Tamandua tetradactyla: one gene and its partner. The protein of the gene in region 2 binds, or shares a complex with, the protein of the main gene of each other region. Links are inferred from orthologs where the notes say so. Each region holds a gene or a part of one and is shown on either strand. Other genes may lie near its edges.

What was found.
Region 1: the proteins of ATP2A1 (region 2) and SLN are in contact, whole or in part, in a crystal structure (PDB 3W5A), measured with the Oryctolagus cuniculus proteins. The link is inferred for Tamandua tetradactyla from reciprocal best matches to the Homo sapiens genes ATP2A1 and SLN. Residues at the interface, in XP_069919846.1 of Oryctolagus cuniculus: Phe88, Val89, Leu96, Ala100, Ile103, Val104, Trp107, Arg110, Asn111, Asn114, Arg324, Lys328, Trp794, Leu797, Gly801, Leu802, Thr805, Ala806, Phe809, Trp932, Ser936, Leu939, Leu943, Leu946, Ile947, Val950, Pro952, Leu953, Ile956; in NP_001075856.1 of Oryctolagus cuniculus: Met1, Glu2, Arg3, Ser4, Thr5, Arg6, Glu7, Leu8, Leu10, Asn11, Phe12, Val14, Val15, Thr18, Val19, Leu21, Ile22, Trp23, Leu25, Val26, Tyr29.

Annotation. Positions count from the first base shown.
Region 1 is NC_135334.1:34,162,779-34,166,690, forward strand, and holds the start of SLN (sarcolipin), read left to right. Parts: upstream 1-1,401; 5' UTR 1,402-1,498; intron 1,499-3,912. UniProt on the Homo sapiens protein: Reversibly inhibits the activity of ATP2A1/SERCA1 and ATP2A2/SERCA2 in sarcoplasmic reticulum by decreasing the apparent affinity of the ATPase for Ca(2+). Also inhibits the activity of ATP2A3/SERCA3.
Region 2 is NC_135349.1:25,051,585-25,055,496, reverse strand, and holds the start of ATP2A1 (sarcoplasmic/endoplasmic reticulum calcium ATPase 1), read right to left. Parts: upstream 2,780-3,912; 5' UTR 2,575-2,779; coding exon 2,457-2,574; intron 2,129-2,456; coding exon 2,111-2,128; intron 1,846-2,110; coding exon 1,763-1,845; intron 672-1,762; exon of another isoform or gene 572-671; intron 401-571; coding exon 296-400; intron 1-295. UniProt on the Homo sapiens protein: Key regulator of striated muscle performance by acting as the major Ca(2+) ATPase responsible for the reuptake of cytosolic Ca(2+) into the sarcoplasmic reticulum.

The DNA of each region.
Region 1 (3,912 bases), on a different chromosome or scaffold from region 2:
TAAATAAATAATTTTATTTGGGAAAAAAATTTTAAGTGGTTTTAAAAAGGGGGGGGGGGGGGATGGATATTGCTTGGTAACCAGGAAAACATTCTTAGCATTTAAACCATCTGGCAAGCACTTGGAGGCAAAAGATCGAAATCTGACTACATTCAAGGAGTTTGCCAGATGGAAACAAATAACTGCCAATGTTCAATTGTGCTATAATTATTATACACTACCTGTCACTTCAGCAAGCTCTTTTTACAAGGCAGGTGGTGACAGAATGCTGTATTAAGATTATGGGTTGATGGTGAAATGAAGAAATGGAATGGGAAGTCTTTCTTTTAGTGATACCTTTGGGGTATGTGAAAAAGGTTTGACTATGAACACAAATATTTAATTTTATTTGTTTTTGCCTTCTGGGAATATATTATTTCAGTTGCCCCTAATTGGGAATTCCAAAGGGAAAGTTATCCTATTTCTTATAGAGAAAGGATTTGTTGAGCAAACACAGTTGCAGGGGTCAAGTTTAAGGTACTTAATTGATCTGCTTTCAAGTCCAATTAAACACTTAGAAATTCCATTTACCTTCAAACATCTAGTATGCTGATTAAAACTTGTCTTAACTAGTCAGTGTTTGTATTTGAAATTAATAAAATTCTATTTCCTTCAAATATATTCTATAGTTCATGTTTTTCATTAATTTTGACCGGTTCTCCTTCTACCCCTAATCTATCCAAAGACTAGGTTTTGCTGTATGAGTTTAGTGCTGAATTAGTTTACTGATTGAATATGCAAACCTTCTTCTCACGCAAAACTTCATCAGCTCTCTCAGATGAAACTATCTTAATGTGTAAATTTGCAATGTACAGGCTTAACTGGAAAGTCCTGTAAAGCTGATGACTGAGAGGAACATTTTCACTACTTGGACTAAAAAAAGTCAGTTTTGAAGGAGCTTGAGCTGCCTTTTGAATTCTGGTGTGTATGTGTGTGTGTGCTCGCACACACATGCAGGCATGGGTAAGGAAGACAGAGAATGCTTTATATTTCAAGCAGGTAAAGATTTGAGGAGTGAAATGAAGTCCATTTTTTATACCCTGAGTAAGGGGAGCAGCCAAATGCAGCATCAATTTGTTAATAGTCTATCACTGTCTCGGGGTTTATGATGTTTTAAAGCCATGTTAGAGATATTCATGAATATGTAAAAGACAAGTTGGAAACAAATTAAATGCACCAGTCACCTTCGGAAACAGCAGGCTTTTAAGTCCTTGTGATGTTAATACAAATTAGCAGCCAAAGGAACAAAGTGTTAGTCAACATATTTCTCTGCTCCCCTAAACGCAAATAGCCTTGAACCTTCAGAGGTTGTTCCTTTGAGATGGTTCATCGGTGACATCACACTGGTTGCCACCTGCTTGGACTACTTTAGGTCCTGCCCAGAGCCCAGAAGTCACACAGCTCTGGAGGAGAGCCGGCGTTTGAAGAGAAGAAAGAGGAGAAACCCACCGCAGCCACGGTGCGTCCTTGACCCTTTTTGGGGGTAATAGCAGGATTTTTATGTTTAGCATACATTGTGTGCATGTGTGTTTGTGTACAAATTGCAAAGGAGAAAGGCAGAGGGATGTTTATATTTCTTAAAAGCAATAGGCAATGCCTATTGTATACAATTCTCAAGATGTAAAGTGAATATTATTGATTCTTATTCTCCTTTTTTTTTCTCCTCATGGTACACATTTTCTCCCTTCCTGTTTCTTTTTTTATGAAAATTTGATTTTCATAACATAGAAAAAGGGCTGTATTTCATCTTCTCAAAGTCTCCATTCAAAGAACGTCAATGTCAAACTTCCTGCTCAATTTATTCAGAGATATTTTGGTTTTTATTTCATCCACTTGGCAGTCATTTGGGATGATATGCTGTGAACTTGACAGAAACTTCAGAGAAGGTTTAAAATGGGGACAAAACTGTCTTTGGGGATTAGCAGCAGAAAAATGGAAATTTGCTGAGATGGATTTCTGTCTAACTTGGTTCATTCTGGGTGTAAATGTGTGTAAAAGTAAAGTCCACCCCTTACAATTAGCATTATGTGTTGAATTTAATTGGATAATTAATTGGATTCACTAGAAAGTGCTACATATGCTACAAACATACGTAAAATGAATGTTTTATTCATCCAAAAAGATGTAGAACAACAAATATTTCAAATTTACTAAATAGTAAGAGGTAAGCCTCAGGAAAAAAATAAGTTTGGTAGGTAGCCTATTAACTCAGGGACCATCTAAAAAATAAATGTGAAAAGTACATCAAACATGTGCAGTTTAATCAACAACTACAAGGCAATGCCCACCTGGGTTAAGAAAGAGATTACTGCTGGCACCCCAGAATCCATCCCTGATCTCCCACTTCTGCCACCCTAGGGAATCACTATTTTAATTGCTGAGATTATCTTTCCTTGCTTTTCTTTACACTTTTACCATCTATGTCTGCATCCCTAACCAATATGATTAAATTCCCTGTTTTTGACTTTGTATAATGGAATCATATTTTATGTTTCTTTTAAATTCTACTTTTGCCCATCACTTATGCTTGTGAAATCCTGTGTGTAGCTGTAGTTCATATACTTTCTTTGCTCTATTGTATTCCGATGCATGAGTTTACCAAAATTCATCATTTATTCTACTGCTGATGGACATTTGAGTTGTTTCCAGTTGGGGCTATTGTAAAATGCTGCTGTGAGCATTCTTGTACAGATCTATTCTGGTACACATGATCTTGAGTTGCTAGGGTAGAAGCGAAATTGCTAGATAAATAGGAAACAAGCATTTTTAAGTTTAATAAAAATGCCAAATTGTTTCCCAAAGTGGTTGAAAATTTACATTAATGTTGTTTTAGCCAGTCCAATTAATTGCAGTATTAACGCATTCTTGTAATCACTCCTATGCAGAACTATAATCCCAACATTAGTTCCAGTCTGCCAGTTCTAGCTCTGCCTCTAATTTGTTATGCATCATAACACAAGCAACTTAACCTCTTTCTAAGAGTCGTTTCTCAGAGAGTGGAAAAAAATAAAAATCATAATAGTACTTGCCCGAGTTGTTGAAGGTTGTAGAGTTACTGTGAAGGTCGCATCAGCAGAGGTGTGGAACAGTTTTCCTTAGCATTTCCTCACGTTCCGAGTCTATTTCTTTGGGACCACTTCACAAGACTCTTTAAAAGCTGATTCTAATAAGCAGATTTGGAAGGACAGTTATTGAAACCCTTTTTCAACTGGGTTGCTTTGATCATTGTAATCACACTCTCATATTTTCTGCATATCTTCGTAATCCTTAATTTATCCAAATAAGTAGGAGTTTGAACCAGCATTTGATTTTATTAATGAATTCATGAGGAGGATTCTGACTTTGATTCTGTTTCTGTGTCTCAAGCCTCCTGGCCTGAGGTCATCATCTTCCTGTTATCTTCTGCCCTTTGGTACATTCTTATATATTCTCTCTTCCTTTATTCATTCACTTTCTTCTGTTAACTCTCTCCTCAAAGTGAATCTTTGTGAAAATTTTCATTGGCAATCGACTAATTTTCTTCATGCATAGGGCCAAAAGATGGCTAAGAATTAAAAGGAAAATGAAACTTAAATCAGTCATCATTGGCCTCATTTTAAACCAAGATCAGCAATGTACTGGTTGGCACCACTGATTTGAACCTGTGTGTTATACCAACAATAACATAATTGAAAAATGATTATTCAGCTGATGCCTAAAGATTTAATAACTTGGTCAATTAAAAACACAGTAAATGCAATTTCAGTCTTGCTAGATGGCTAAACAATACCATTCAGGTCAAAATTTTAACAATTCTTCTACCTGCATGAACTCCCACCCTTAGCAAATTCCCTTTTCCACTAAACTTTTTCACTCCACATTTTTTTTGTCCTT
Region 2 (3,912 bases):
GTTAGGTTTCACCACAAGTTTAAGAGATGGGATTATCAGTACCATTTTATGGATGAGGAGGCTGAGGCTCAAAGAGATGAAGGAACTTGCCCAGGGTCATACAGCCAGCAAGGGCCAGTGGGAACCCTAGTCTCCCACCTAGTCTCAACATGCCATTCTATTTCCATACTGGGTGACAGGCCCAGAGGACAAGGTAAGCTCTGGGGAAGTGATGGAGGAAGAGGAGACTGGCAATGTATGGTGGGTCTCACATTCAGTGTCAGGATGTGAAGGAGCGAAGAGGGCTCAAGCTAACCTGCCAAACCCCAACAATGGCGTTGGCAATGAGGATCAAGAGGATGACAAAGGGTTCAACAAAGGCAGTGACGGTCTCTTCGCCTTCCTCAAACCAAGCCAGCACCTGTGGGACAGTGGGAGGAAGATTAACAGGTAAGGAAAGGAAGCAGAAGTATTCCAAAGACCACCGCATAGCGATGAGAACATTGCAGAGCTCAAGGAACAAGGCCCCAGGGGGCAAGTGCAGCCCCACATCTGTTGGGAAGGTTCTACACATTCAGAGGCTCACACTTACACATGCATTGTCCTGCTCTGTGGTGGCTCGTGCAGCCCTGTACAACTAGAGGATCGACTGGGAATGCTTTCAGGTTTCCCTGACTGAGTTGTTGGCTTGTAAATGAAGCCCAGGGGACACCCAGCCAACCACCCCCCACCTCCACATCCATCCCAGGGGAGCCAAAGCCCAGAAGAAAAACCCTGCGGTCCTCGCAGGCACCAGGCCCATGGGCAGGGCAGCTCCGATTTCATGAGGGAGGTGGGGGAATAGGGTTACGGGCCTCCTGTACACACCCAGCCCCAGCTGTTGCCACTGCCAGGCAACAGCCACCGGCAAATGTCAAGGAGCAAATCCCAGAGGGTAGAAGTGAGGCCCTGCCAATTGCAGGGATGAAGACCTAAGGAAACTTTTTTTTTTTTTTTTGCCTTTGGCGTCTGGTCTTCCAGGAGGACTAAGATATTAAGGAAGAGACCCCTAAGTGTGGTAGGACAGCTGGGATGCTGGGTGCTGGAAAGGGGCCCCAGGCCAGGGGGCTTTTTCTGAGGTTGTGAGATGAGGTTGGGGGGCAGCTCTGAGGATATGAGGGGCCTGAGAAGTCCAGGGCAGATGGGTGAGGAAAGGGATTCCGGGAGTCCCAGCCCATAGCCTTCGGGGAGCAGTGGTGAGTCCCTTCCCCGCTCCCTCCGCCCCATTCCCCCCGCACCAGCGGCTCTTTCCCGCTTCCACCAGAGAGTCCTTCCCTCAGCCAGTCAGCGTCAGGAGGGCGGGGCGGGGGCGCCGGGAGGCCCAGGGATTGGTAGAGCGCAGCCCCGGGGCATGCCGGGACTAGTGGTCTGGGGCGCGGACAGCCTCAGTCCTTGTCTAAGCCTGGAAGCCGGGCGCTTGAAGGTAGGGTGGAGTGGGGTGGGGGTGGGGTCATCCGAGTCTTAGTCCTTGAAGCTGCGGGACGGTTTAGCTGCAGTGTTTTGGCCCAGAACTCCCATAAAACTTCAAGTAAAACCTGCCTGCGGAGGGTGGAGGACAGAAGGGACGAGAGTCTCGGCGTGCCTCAGCCCCATCCCCAGCTTTGGTCTGTAGAAGAGGATGCTTGGCCAAGACGACCGGATGATTCGGCGCTCCCTGCACCTCCGCCGCCAACAGGCTTCGCGCACCCCCCCCCCCCCCCCCCCCCCCCCCCGCCCCAGTCCCTAGCAGCCATGCCACACTTACAAAGGAAATGCAGGCAGCCAGGAGCAAGATCCGTACTAGCAGGTCTTCAAACTGCTCCACTACCAACTCCCACAGGGACTTCCCTGAGGGGAGAGGGGGTTCAGGTCAAGAGGCTGAAGGTGTGGACTCCAAGCGGAGGCAGGGGCCCAGGGGCTCAGTGGGCCCTGGATCGGGATTAGGAACAGGGAATTTCTGGGATACTGGCGGGCCCCCTCCCCAAGCCAGACTCTAACCTTTGGGGAGGGATGTTTGTCCAAGGAGTCTGGAGGGAGGAGGGAAGGAGATGGGAGTAGGAGACACAGCGTTGGGAGGGTCATTTATGAGAGTCCAGGGACTCCAGTAACTTACCTTCCTCAGCAGGGAGCTCTACCCAGGGGAAAAGAAGAAAAGGAAATAATCATTTGGTGCTCAATCCAGTGCCCTTCATACCTAAGGCTTTACAGCTAAGATAAGAGAATCAGGCCAAAGAAAAGGCAGCTGAGGTTCATCAGGATCATCCCATGAAACCTCCCCAAACTCGGGGTCTCAGGGAGTTTTCACAGTATCCTCTCCCCTCCTGTAGTCACTGGACCACGGTCCAGCCTTACCCTGGAGAGAGAGGCTCCAGTGGGAGTGGGAGTGGGAGTGGGGGAGAAAAGGGCGGAGGGGTAAACACAGGAGGGCGCTACCAGCCTTTCCTCCAAGGGACACTCACCATTGGGGCCAAATTTCTCCAAATGCCGCTTAACTTGGTCCAGGGTGAGGCCTGTGGTCTCACTCACCCCAAAATAGGCCAGACATTCCTCCGTGGTCTTGGAGTGTGCGGCCTCCATTGTGCTCCCTTCCTGGGGGCCACGGGGCGGTGTGTTCTTCCTGTGGAGGGGTCTCAAGTGTGGGGGTCTTCCTCAGTGTGTCCACCTGCCTGTCTGGGTTTCTTGCTTTTTCTCTCTTGCCCCCCCCCCCCAGGATTTTCTTCCCTCCACGAATCTCTGACCCCCGTCCTACTTGCAGCAGCTGGCCACCCCCCCCAGCCCCCAGCTGGTCCTTATGAGGGAGTGGGGGGGCCAGGTTCCCCCCTCCTCCAGACCAGGGATTGGCTGGCTGAGATACCAGCAGGAGGGGTCAGAAGAGAGAGATATTTCTGCTGACAGAGGGGGAACAGTGGGGCTGCAGCCTGAGATGTCACTCATGAGGGAAGCTAAGGTGGCCCTAGCCCCAGGGAAGGGATGGGGTGGGGAGATTTCACACTGTCTTGACTTACTGACCCCTCTTCCAGTTGCCTTAACTTCCTCTGTTACACTGAATTTCCCATCCCAAACTCATTTCCCCAGTTCCTCCCTTTATGTCCTTGTCTATGCTCAGGCCTTTACCTTTCACTTCTTCACACCCTCATTTCCTGCTCGATTACCCTGAACCTAATTTCCCCGGCCAATCTCTCCTCACCCAGTTTGTTGAAAGGGCAGCAGAGATACCTCAAGCCTCCAGTCACCTGAAAAGGGGGAGAGCATCTTTTGAGGGGCTGAGGCAGTGGATGAGGGGAAGTAGGGAAGGGAGAGGGTCAAGGGGACAGGGCAGAAGATGGTAACCCTACCCTAGGGAGGGGTGGCCGCAGCCATCAACAAGGGATTTAGTGTCCAGGCCCTGGTAAGCAAAGCCAGGACTGCCCTCTGTTCCCCCCAAACAACCCCCCCAATTGCTCTAACAGCCTGCAGGATCACAGCCTTCAGTGCCCCCCCATCTCTGACAGGGAATCCCCCCCCCCTGGGAAAATGGGATACCCAGGCAGTCGGGTAACCCAAGAGGCTACAGAATGTGCTGATGGCAGAGGGGGAGGGATAAATGTTTCAAGAGGGGGACGGGGTCACCCCAAGTCACAGAAAGAGGGTCATCTCATCCTGGTGTGCTCTGGTTAACTCAAGGGCAGTGTGTGGTCCTCACTCCAGCCCCAATGGCATCTGTTCTTCAGGAGGAATGAGGATCAGGCCTGCTGTGTGCTCAGGAGCTGGGTGAACTCCACTGAGAGAGGTGTAAGGGAACGGACATCAAGGAAAAGGGTCAGGGTAAAGTAGAGGCTTGAAACCAGAGGAACCAGGAGGGAGGCAGATTCAACGGGGCAGGTCTAGGGCAAACACGCAAAGAGCTGGGGGGTGAAGGGCAAAGAGCCAGGGCTA